3 linked regions of the Macaca fascicularis genome follow. The protein of the gene in region 2 purifies or fractionates together with the protein of the main gene of each other region. This does not show direct contact. Links are inferred from orthologs where the notes say so. Each region holds a gene or a part of one and is shown on either strand. Other genes may lie near its edges.

The links.
Region 1: the proteins of CDC26 (region 2) and ANAPC16 purify together in Homo sapiens (co-immunoprecipitation; 5 studies listed by BioGRID and IntAct, with this or other methods). This does not show direct contact. The link is inferred for Macaca fascicularis from reciprocal best matches to the Homo sapiens genes CDC26 and ANAPC16.
Region 3: the proteins of CDC26 (region 2) and NEK2 purify together in Homo sapiens (affinity purification with mass spectrometry; 3 studies listed by BioGRID and IntAct, with this or other methods). This does not show direct contact. The link is inferred for Macaca fascicularis from reciprocal best matches to the Homo sapiens genes CDC26 and NEK2.

What each region holds. Positions count from the first base shown.
Region 1 is NC_088383.1:74,200,292-74,204,046, reverse strand, and holds the start of ANAPC16 (anaphase-promoting complex subunit 16), read left to right. Parts: upstream 1-1,324; 5' UTR 1,325-1,379; exon of another isoform or gene 1,380-1,604; intron 1,605-3,623; exon of another isoform or gene 3,624-3,755. UniProt on the Homo sapiens protein: Component of the anaphase promoting complex/cyclosome (APC/C), a cell cycle-regulated E3 ubiquitin ligase that controls progression through mitosis and the G1 phase of the cell cycle.
Region 2 is NC_088389.1:44,830,757-44,833,068, forward strand, and holds the end of CDC26 (anaphase-promoting complex subunit CDC26), read left to right. Parts: intron 1-1,289; coding exon 1,290-1,466; 3' UTR 1,467-1,722; downstream 1,723-2,312. UniProt on the Homo sapiens protein: Component of the anaphase promoting complex/cyclosome (APC/C), a cell cycle-regulated E3 ubiquitin ligase that controls progression through mitosis and the G1 phase of the cell cycle.
Region 3 is NC_088375.1:69,486,033-69,489,787, reverse strand, and holds the start of NEK2 (serine/threonine-protein kinase Nek2), read left to right. Parts: upstream 1-951; 5' UTR 952-1,099; coding exon 1,100-1,195; intron 1,196-2,034; coding exon 2,035-2,252; intron 2,253-2,837; coding exon 2,838-3,078; intron 3,079-3,755. UniProt on the Homo sapiens protein: Protein kinase which is involved in the control of centrosome separation and bipolar spindle formation in mitotic cells and chromatin condensation in meiotic cells.

The sequences.
Region 1 (3,755 bases), on a different chromosome or scaffold from region 2:
CAATGAGGGATATTTAATACACTTAACCATCCAGAAAAAAAAAAGCCCCTAAGTACTTTCAGAGGTGCTAGAAATTCACACAAAACAATCAGTTCCAGTTGCCTGTCAAAGCAGTAAATTAATAACAACTTAACCAATATGGTTCTCAGACCAATATACTGCTGAGGGGAGGAATCCAGTTTCTACAGGCCACTGCCCAACAAAATGCACATCACTCACTGAGAAGCCAAGCTTCTGGTCACACCACTTAATGGATCCATAATTTAGGAAACAAAGGTTCCTTATAGGCTAGCTGAAGTTAAATTCAGCCAGTATTCCTACCACGTACAGCTTAGTCTTGAAGCCCAAAATACTGAAGAGTTCCAAAGAAAACAAGTTGATCCTTACTAAATACACTAACGCTCAAGCCAACGTGGACGCGGTGGCTCACGTCTGTAATCCCAGCACTTTGGGAGGCCGAGGTGGGTGGATCATCTGAGGTCAGGAGTTCAACACCAGCCTGGCCAAGATGGTGAAACCCGTCTCTACTGAAAATACAAAAAGTAGCCGGGCTTGGTGGCGGGCGCCTGTAATCCCAGCTACTCGGAAGGCTGATGTGGCACGAGAATCGCTTAAGCCTGAGAGGCGGAGGTTGCAGTGAGCTGAGATCGCGCCACTGCACTCCAGCCTGGGTGACAGAGCGAGACTTCGTCTCAAAAAAATAAATAAAATAAAATAATAATTGATTATTTGTGTGCTTACAGGACCAAGAAGAGGTTTTGTGAGAAATAACAACATAGAAGGTAAACCGACATGGATAGAGGAAAAGAGCACATCATTAGCAATAGTCGATGACATCACAACCCAGTGGTCTATTCCCTGAGGCCTCTAAAGTTCTCAATGAAAAAACACTTTCAAGGCGAAAGCTAAAAAAAAAAAAAGTTCCCCACAAAAGCAGACTAAGGTGAAAGTCGGGCCCTCAGAACAAGAGCTCCGGAAAAACAGGTAGTCGTCGCGGAGACAGCAAACGCAGCATCTACCTGTCCTACATGGCCCTGCGCTACGAGACTGCTCGGAAGGAAAGGCGGGAATAACCAACTTAACCCTGCTTCGAGGTGGTTTGGAGAGGAAGAGGAAAGCCGTGTCTTTCTGCAATATCGTGAGGGAAGCCGAGACCCCGAATCATCAAAGAGAAGGAGCAGAAGAGGACTAGGCGGCTGCAGGTAAACCAAGGTACGGCGAGGAGGCAAAGGAACCGGAATTCCTCTCCACGAGCGCGTTCTCGGCTCCCCTCCTCGCGTCTCCGCCCCGGCCACGCCCACCACGGCACGGGCGCGCGCACGCCGCCTTCGCCGCAGGCCCCTCCGTGGAGGCGCGAGCACGCCGCCGTCCTCGTCGTGGTGAGCGTGACCGCTCCGGCTGGTCCTGGGGGCGGGGCTGTAGGGGAAAGTGCTAAAGCCGCTGAGGTAAGAGGCCGAGGGCTGAAGGGCCCTGGGGAGCTTGGTGAAAAGGGAGTTAACCCTTAGGATCCTACCTGCAGGGACTAGAAAAATGGAGAAGGTAGGAGGAGAAACAGGAGACTGCTGTAGCAGACGTGCGACAGGAAATTTTCCCAGGCCGGGTTTGACTGAGTGCGCATGCGGGCCAAGGGGTGGCGCCTGCGCAGTGGGACAGCGCCGATGGCGTCGTTTCCTGTGGACCCAGCTGGGTGGGAAATGTGGCTAGGAGTTAGCTTGGGAGCCGCTGGTGTTCTGACCGCTCCCCTCTCTGGCCACTCTCTCTCCACGCCCACCCCACCCCCGGTTACAGCTGCGGCGTCTGTTTGGTTTGGGTTGTAATCCAGCTGTTTTGAAGTGGAACGATTTTTTGATGATGGAATTTAATGATTGCTTGTAATGATTTGCCTTTGTACTAGGGTAGGAACTTTTAAGGAATTACTCTTTTTAAGAAAATAGGCATATGTCTGTTAGAAAGGAAAGGAATTTATATTCATAAAACTATGAAGGCCGGGCGCGGTGGCCCACGCCTGTAATCCCAGCACTTTGGGAGGCCGAGGCTGGCGGATCACGAGGTCAGGAGATCGAGGCCATACTGGCTAACACGGGGTTTCACCGTGTTAAATACAAAACAAAATTAGCTGGGCGTGGTGGCAGGCGCCTGTAGTCCCAGCTACTGGGGAGGCTGAGGCAGGAGAATGGCGTGAACCCGGGAGGCGGAGCTGGCAGTGAGCCGAGATTGTGCCACTGCATTCTGGCCTGGGCGACAGAGGGAGACTCCGTCTCAAAAAAAAAAAAACTATGAATGCGAGGTCATCCCTGCCGTACATGAAGTAAATGTTTAAGCATCTTAGCTCGGACACAGCAATCTGTCCACAAAGCATCGTTACTCTCCTGTGAGGATCTCCACTGTCAGCCCCAACTTCCCTGACAGGGCCAAATCCCAGGATACTTCATCAGTATTTGTTCAACAGAACATTACTGAGCACCTCCGGTGGGCCTCTCAGACTAGTTGAAAATAGAGTTGTGCGAATAGATCTGCACAATGAGAAAAAAAATCCGTAATGAACCAATACTGATGACACCACGCTTGTCTATCTCCTGCATAACCTTTGCTGAGCCCTGCGTTCTGTCATTTGTTCTTCATTCATTCATCCGAAATGCTCAGGAAGCACTGTGGAAACACTGTGACCCAGGTTCTGTGCTCGGCATTGAGGGTAGAAAGACTTCGAAGGTGGCAGGATGTTTCTTAAGATCATGAACCTTAAAATGAAAGTGTAGGCCGGGCGCAGTGGCTCACACCTGTAATCCCAGCACTTTGGGAGGCCGAGGCGGGCCTGATCACGAGGTCGGGAGATCAAGATTTTCCTGGCTAACATGGTGAAACCCCGTTTCTACTTAAAAAAAATACAAAAAATTAGCCGGGAGTGGTGGCGGGCGCCTGTAGTCCCAGCAACTCGGGAGGCTGAGACGGGAGAATGGCGTGAACCCGGGAAGCAGAGCTTGCTGTGAGCCGAGATCGCACCACTGCACTCCAGCCTGGAGTGCTTAATAGAAGCACTTAATAGAGCGAGACTCCGTCTCAAAAAAAATAAATAAATAAAAATGAAAGTGTAAAGTGCTTAATAGAAGGTATTGGCCCTCCTCCTGAGCAGATTCTTTCCCCTCTGGGAGCTTGCTAACTCTGTTAGATGGAGAGAATTAAGACTTTTTCCATGAATTTTTTTCATAGTAAGTATGAAAAACTGGGATCTGCATAGGAAAAAACACTCAGGAGTAACTCTCCGTTAATGATTTTGAACAGCCAAGATTTATGAAGTGTTTACTAAGCCTGTAACCATTCCAAGTGTTTTACGTGTATTAATTAATCTTTGTCACACCTGTGTGAGGTAGGTGATGTTATTACAGGTTGAGTATCCTTAATCTAGAAATCCAAAATCCTCCAAAATTTAAAACTTGAGCACTGACGGGATGGTCAAAGGAAGTGCTTTTTGGAGCATTTTGAATTTTAGATTTTCGGATTTGGGAGGCTTAATCGTTACGTATAATGCAAATATCCCAAAACCTGGGAAAAAATCCGAAATCCAAAATACCTCCAGTCCCAAGCATTTGGGATGAAGGGTACTCAACCTGTTTCCCGTTTTGCAGATAAGACAACCAAGGAACAAAAAGATCCCGAAGTGGGAGGCGGACGCGGAGGTTGCGGTGAGCCAAGATCGTGCCGTTGCACTCCAGCCTGGGCAACAAGAGCGAAACTCCATCTCAAAAAAAAAAAAAAAA
Region 2 (2,312 bases):
GGAGTCTCACTATGTTGCCCAGGCTAGTGTCAAACTCCTGGGCTCAAGCAGTCCTCCCAAAGCAGTGGGATTTACAGGCATGAGCCACTGCGGTCAGCCCGATGCTTGGCATTTAAATGCCCACAGTCCAGCAGCAAGTGGTGAAGAATGGTGGTAATTCCAGTGATTTGAGTAGCTGAGCCATTCTATTATTATTAAGGAATTTTGGATAAAACATCATTTCACTCTCTTAGAGAAAGTTATCATCTGTTGTCCTTACAGTCAGGTAGTGGCAGTTACGGGATAAGTGTTTCTTTTTGAAAATGATCAAACTGAGACATATTTTGTGGATTCTGCAGTCACATGTGACTTAAGAACCAAACCTTTTATCTGAAAACAAAATGAAGCCACAAAACCCAGACCTTTTGATAAGATAGCATAAAACCTTCTCATGTTACTTTTAATCTCATGGGATCAGTTAGGCTATAGATTTTTGGTGGTTATTTCTTTACCAGTCAATTTATTTTTCTGTCTATTCTCTAGAATAATAAATTTGTTGAAATACCCTTTGCTCCCCCTTGTCTGCTCTTACATCTTTCCAGTTGTAGCTTCCTGTTGTACCACCACACCCCAACTCCTTACCTCGTCTCTTTGGCAGTGTTGACTTCCCTCTGTCATAGGTCATAGCCCGGATCACCCTATAATCGTCTCTTTGCCTGTTTACCTATTAGACTGTGACATCCTGGAGGGCAGGGGTTACATCTTTTTTTTTTTGAGACGGAGTCTCACTCTGTCACCAGGCTGGAGTGCATCTCGGCTCACTGCAACCTCCGACTTCCTGGTTCGAGTGGTTCTCCTGCCTCAGCCTCCTGAGTAGGTGGGATTACAGGCATGTGCCACCATGCCCAGCTAAGTTTTGTATTTTTAGTAGAGATGGAGTTTCACTGTCTTGGCCAGGATGGTCTTGATCTCTTGACCTCGTGATCCGCCCGCCTCGGCCTCCCAAAGGGCTGGGATCACAGGTGTGACTCACTGTGCCCGGCCACATTGTTTATTTTTAGTAGAGATGGGGTTTCGCCATGTTTGCCAGGCTGGTCTCGAATTCCTGACCTCAAGCGATCAGAGGTTACAACTTTTAACACCGTATCCTCATTGTGCCCCTAAGTATTCCAAACCTAGGATTTCAGTTTATTGTTCTTTACACCCTAACTCTATCCTTTACCCCATGCCTAGTACATGGTAGGTACTCTAAATAAACGTTTGCTAATTGAAAGAATGTTGCCTTAATCCTAAAACGTTTATACTTTCAGACCCGTAAGAAACAGAAGGAAGATGTGGAAGTTGTAGGAGGCAGTGATGGAGAAGGAGCCATTGGGCTCAGCAGTGATCCCAAGAGCCGGGAACAAATGATCAATGATCGGATTGGTTATAAACCCCAACCCAAGCCCAATAATCGTTCATCTCAATTTGGAAGTCTTGAATTTTAGAGATGGATTATCTTGCATGCCAGAGCGCTGGAATGGAATAAAATGATGGCAGAAGTACAAACCAGATTTAGAGAATTGAGTGCTTGCAGTCAAGCAGAATGTACCTCCTGCAGAGACAAATCCTTCTGCATGAGATTACTGATGCTTCACTTGCACGCTAAGCCGGAATCCAAACTGTGGTTTGTCTCTGGAAAATCTGACTCTATAAAACTGATCTGAGTTTTTGTTTTTAAAAATAAATATATTTTTGGAAAAATGTGAGGCATCCTTAATGAAGTATAACAGCACTGTTAACCCTCAGGCTTTAAAAGATAATTGCTACAAGATTAACATCATTCTTTCCATCTTTATTAAAAGACCCTAAGCACAGGACACTCTAGTTGATCCCTGCCACTTTCATTTAACCCATCTATTCAACAAGTATTTATTGAGTGCCTACCATGTGCCACTCAACAAAGATCCCTGCCCTTGTAGAAATTAAAATCTAGTGATATTGTGTAAATCTGAAGAAATTGTAAGTACCAGATCTCTTTACAGAATGGCTTTGTAACTAGTTTGGGTACAATGTTCGGAAGACAGACAATGGAGGGAAATAAGAGGAATGCTTCTAAACAGTTTTGCCATTATTCCAACTTTCCTTCCTTTCTCAACTTGCCTAAGCATTTTTCCCAGAAAGAACCAGCGAGGCAGCTCAGAGGATAATTTTGAATGTTGCCCTAATGTTTTGGAGTTAAATTTTTTTTTTTTAATTTTTATTGTTTTACGTAGAGGCAGGGATCTATGTTGCCCAAGGTGGGCTTGAGCTGCTGGCATTCAACAGTCCTCCCAAAGTGCTGGGATTACTAT
Region 3 (3,755 bases), on a different chromosome or scaffold from region 2:
TAAACGGGACAAGATGTGTAAAGTGCTTGGTCAGAGAGCGACTGTATTTCTTCTTCTTTTTTTTTTTTTTTTGGAGACTGGGTCTCACTGTGTCACTCAGGCTGGAGTGCAGTGGCGCAATCTCTGCTCACTGTAACCTCTGCCTCCCGGGTTCAAGCAGTTCCTCATGACTCAGCCACCCAAGAAGCTGGGATTACAGACATGCACCCCCATGCTCGGTTAATTTTTTTTTTCTTCATTTTTAGTAGAGACGGGGTTTCGCCATGTTGGCCAGGCTGGTCTTGAACTCTTGGCCTCAAGCAATCCCAATCCGCCTGCCTCGGCCTCCCAAAGTGCTAGGATTATAGGCGTGAGCCACTGCGCCCGGCCTAATTTTCGTATTTTCAGTAGAGACGAGGTTTGCTATATTGCCCAGGCTGGTCTGAACTCCTGGGCTCAAGCGTTCCACCCACCTCGGCTTCCCAAAGTGCTAGGGTTACGGGCGAGGGTGAGTCACGGCGCCCAGTCTAATTTCTAATTTGTATTCAGCTCTCAGCGTGTCCTCAACGTGACCCCACCCAGGTTCAGGGTACTGGAACCTGAGCGAGGAAGGCGTGTTCCGGGGAGAGTAGGTAGTGTGAGGGGCCAGAGTGCAAAGGTCAGAAGGCATTTGGTGGAAGCTGTGTGCAAAGAAGCCTGAGGGGAGGTCCTTCGATCTCGGTTACCTTGGCGATCTCTACCAGAGGGTTAGAGTTGCCAAGAGGCGCCTGCTGCCGCTTCCTTTCTCCCGCCCTCCCTTTGGTTTAGCTCCGCCCCCTGCTCCCACAGGTTAAAAGCAGACGCCGACGCGGCTGCCTAGTGACACTTTTCCCAAGATGCCTAGGGTATTGTTGTGTTCTTCTTAGCCAATCAGAGAGGCGAAGCGGGCCCACCGCCTGCCAATAGACTGCGAGATCAGGGCCCGCGACAGTTAAACGGGGCCGAAGGCAAGGGTGACTGGTTAGCGCTGCTCGGGGGCTTCTCCGTGCTGGTCCCTGAAGCTCCCGGTCCCGGTCCCTGGAGCTCCGCATTTGGGGGCGCAACCTGCGTGAGGCAGCGCGACTCTGGCGACTGGCCGGCCATGCCGTCCCGGGCTGAGGACTATGAAGTGTTATACACCATTGGCACAGGCTCCTATGGCCGCTGCCAGAAGATCCGGAGGAAGAGTGACGGCAAGGTGAGCGTGGTCCCTTCCCTGTGCCAGCCCCTGCTTAGGGGCGAGCGCCCTGCGCCACCGAAGGGAACCGAGAGGGCTGGTGAAGTGGGTGCCCGGAAGACTCAGCCGTCTTTACTGAGTCTGCATCTGACAGCCTGTCCTGGGTCGCTTAAAGGATGGGAGACCGCGTCTTTTGATATATGTATTTCCATCTTTTCCCGTTTCTCTCCCCATTTCTCTCTTCTGTTTTGGGTTGCTAAGGACCTTCCATTGGTGACACGTAGCTAACTCCTGAGCTGTTTTTAGAGCTCTAAGAGTGGCCCTCTCAGACACAAGAAAGGGGCAGGACCACCAGAACCCGAAGCTTTGTATCTGCAGTCAGACTCCCTCAAAATACCCATTATTCGGATTATTGGATTCATATTTCCCAATGTATACAGGTAGACCTTTTACAGAAAGTAATATTGGACAGGAAACTGCCTGGCTGCTTTTCCAAGGTGTCTCATCCTGGGAAAACACGACTGAGGTGGAATGGGGCAGGGACTTTGACCACCTCCACCCCAATTTTGACTAAAGTACCTTTTTGCCAACTTCCCACTAACCAACTGAGGGTAGGGGTTGGGGGAGACCTCATGTGCCTTATTCCCCTTTATCTCCCTACAACATCATTTACTGCTTAGAAATTGAAAGAAGATTATGGAAGTAAACTCACAGTTCTTTAAGTTCATTGAACTAAATTAGATAATGACCTTGATTGTAGGATATAATTAAAAGGAAGGTTATTTTTTAAATCTTGGAACTTTCATTCTTTGTTTTTGAGCGTAATGAGTTCATTCATACCTTGGAAATTCTTATTTTAGATATTAGTTTGGAAAGAACTTGACTATGGCTCCATGACAGAAACTGAGAAACAGATGCTTGTTTCTGAAGTGAATTTGCTTCGTGAACTGAAACATCCAAACATCGTTCGTTACTATGATCGAATTATTGACCGGACCAACACAACACTGTACATTGTAATGGAATATTGTGAAGGAGGGGATCTGGCTAGTGTGATTACAAAGGGAACCAAGGAAAGGTAAGCATAATCTTTTAAAAATGTAAGCTGAAATTAGGTCTACTTTCATTTATTTTAAGCATCTTGTTTTAGGATCAGTAATATGGAAGAGTATACTTGCATTTGTTTGGTAGGTCCATAGTACTTTAGAAAATTCCCGGTGAATCAACACCCATATTTTATATCAAAATAACAATCTATAGGCTGAGTGTGGTGGCTCACACCTGTCATCCCAACACTTTGGAAGGCCGATGCAGGAGGATCACTTGAGCCCAGGATTTCAAGATCAGCCTGGGCAACATAGTAGGACCCTGTTTCTACAAGAATTAGCCAGGTATGGTGACATGTGCCTGTAGTCTAAGCTACTTGGGAGGCTGAGGCAAGAGGATTGCTTGAGCCTGGGAGGTCGAGGCTGCAGTGAGCCATGATCGTGCCACTGCATTCCAGCCAGGGTGACAGAGCAAGGCTCTGTCTCAAAAAATATAAATAAATAAATAAATAATTTATTTCCCTATTAGTACACTGGATAATTTATATCATCCCATCTTGGCAACGATTTTTTTTTTTTTTTAGAAGTTATATGCTGTATAACTGCTTTGGTTTCAGGCAATACTTAGATGAAGAGTTTGTTCTTCGAGTGATGACTCAGTTGACTCTGGCCCTGAAGGAATGCCACAGACGAAGCGATGGTGGTCATACTGTATTGCATCGGGATCTGAAACCAGCCAATGTTTTCCTGGATGGCAAGCAAAACGTCAAGCTTGGAGACTTTGGGCTAGCTAGAATATTAAACCACGACACGAGTTTTGCAAAAACATTTGTTGGCACACCTTATTACATGTCTCCTGTAAGTATTTCAGAATTTAGATACTTTTTAAAACATCTTTTATTTTTGTTTTTTTGTTTGTTTTTGAGACAGAGTCTCGCTCTGTTGCCCAGGCTGGAGTGGAGTGGTACGATCTCGGCTCACTGCAACCTCTGCCTCCTGGGTTCAAAGGATTCTCTTGCATCAGCCTCCCGAGTAGAGTAGCTGGGACGACAGGTGCATGTCACCATGCCCGGCTAATTTTTGTATGTTTAGTAGAGACAGGGTTTCATCATGTTGGCCAGGCTGGTCTCAAACTCCTGACCTCAAGCAATCTGCCCACTTCAGCCTCCCAAATTGTTGGGATTATAGGCGTGAGCCACCGCTCCCAGCCAAAACATCTTTTAATGTTAAGCATTCTGAAGCAGGGAAATTGAGTTTTCTGTTTGTTTAAGAATTGAAAATACTGTTATATTTTTCCACATGGACCACCAGACCAATAAAGTCTATGAGTTTTTGTTTGCTTCATGAATTATGTGTAATAATGTAAGTATGATGAAGACAGATTCCTACTCTAAGGTTTGCTACTGTTTGTCATCTCTCAGTGGGTTCAATTTTTTGAGCATTCATGCAAATTAAAGCATATTCAGTTCAAGCTTTTATGGAATGATTACAATGCATTAAACTTAAGGATTACAAAAATGAAATGGATTTTGTCC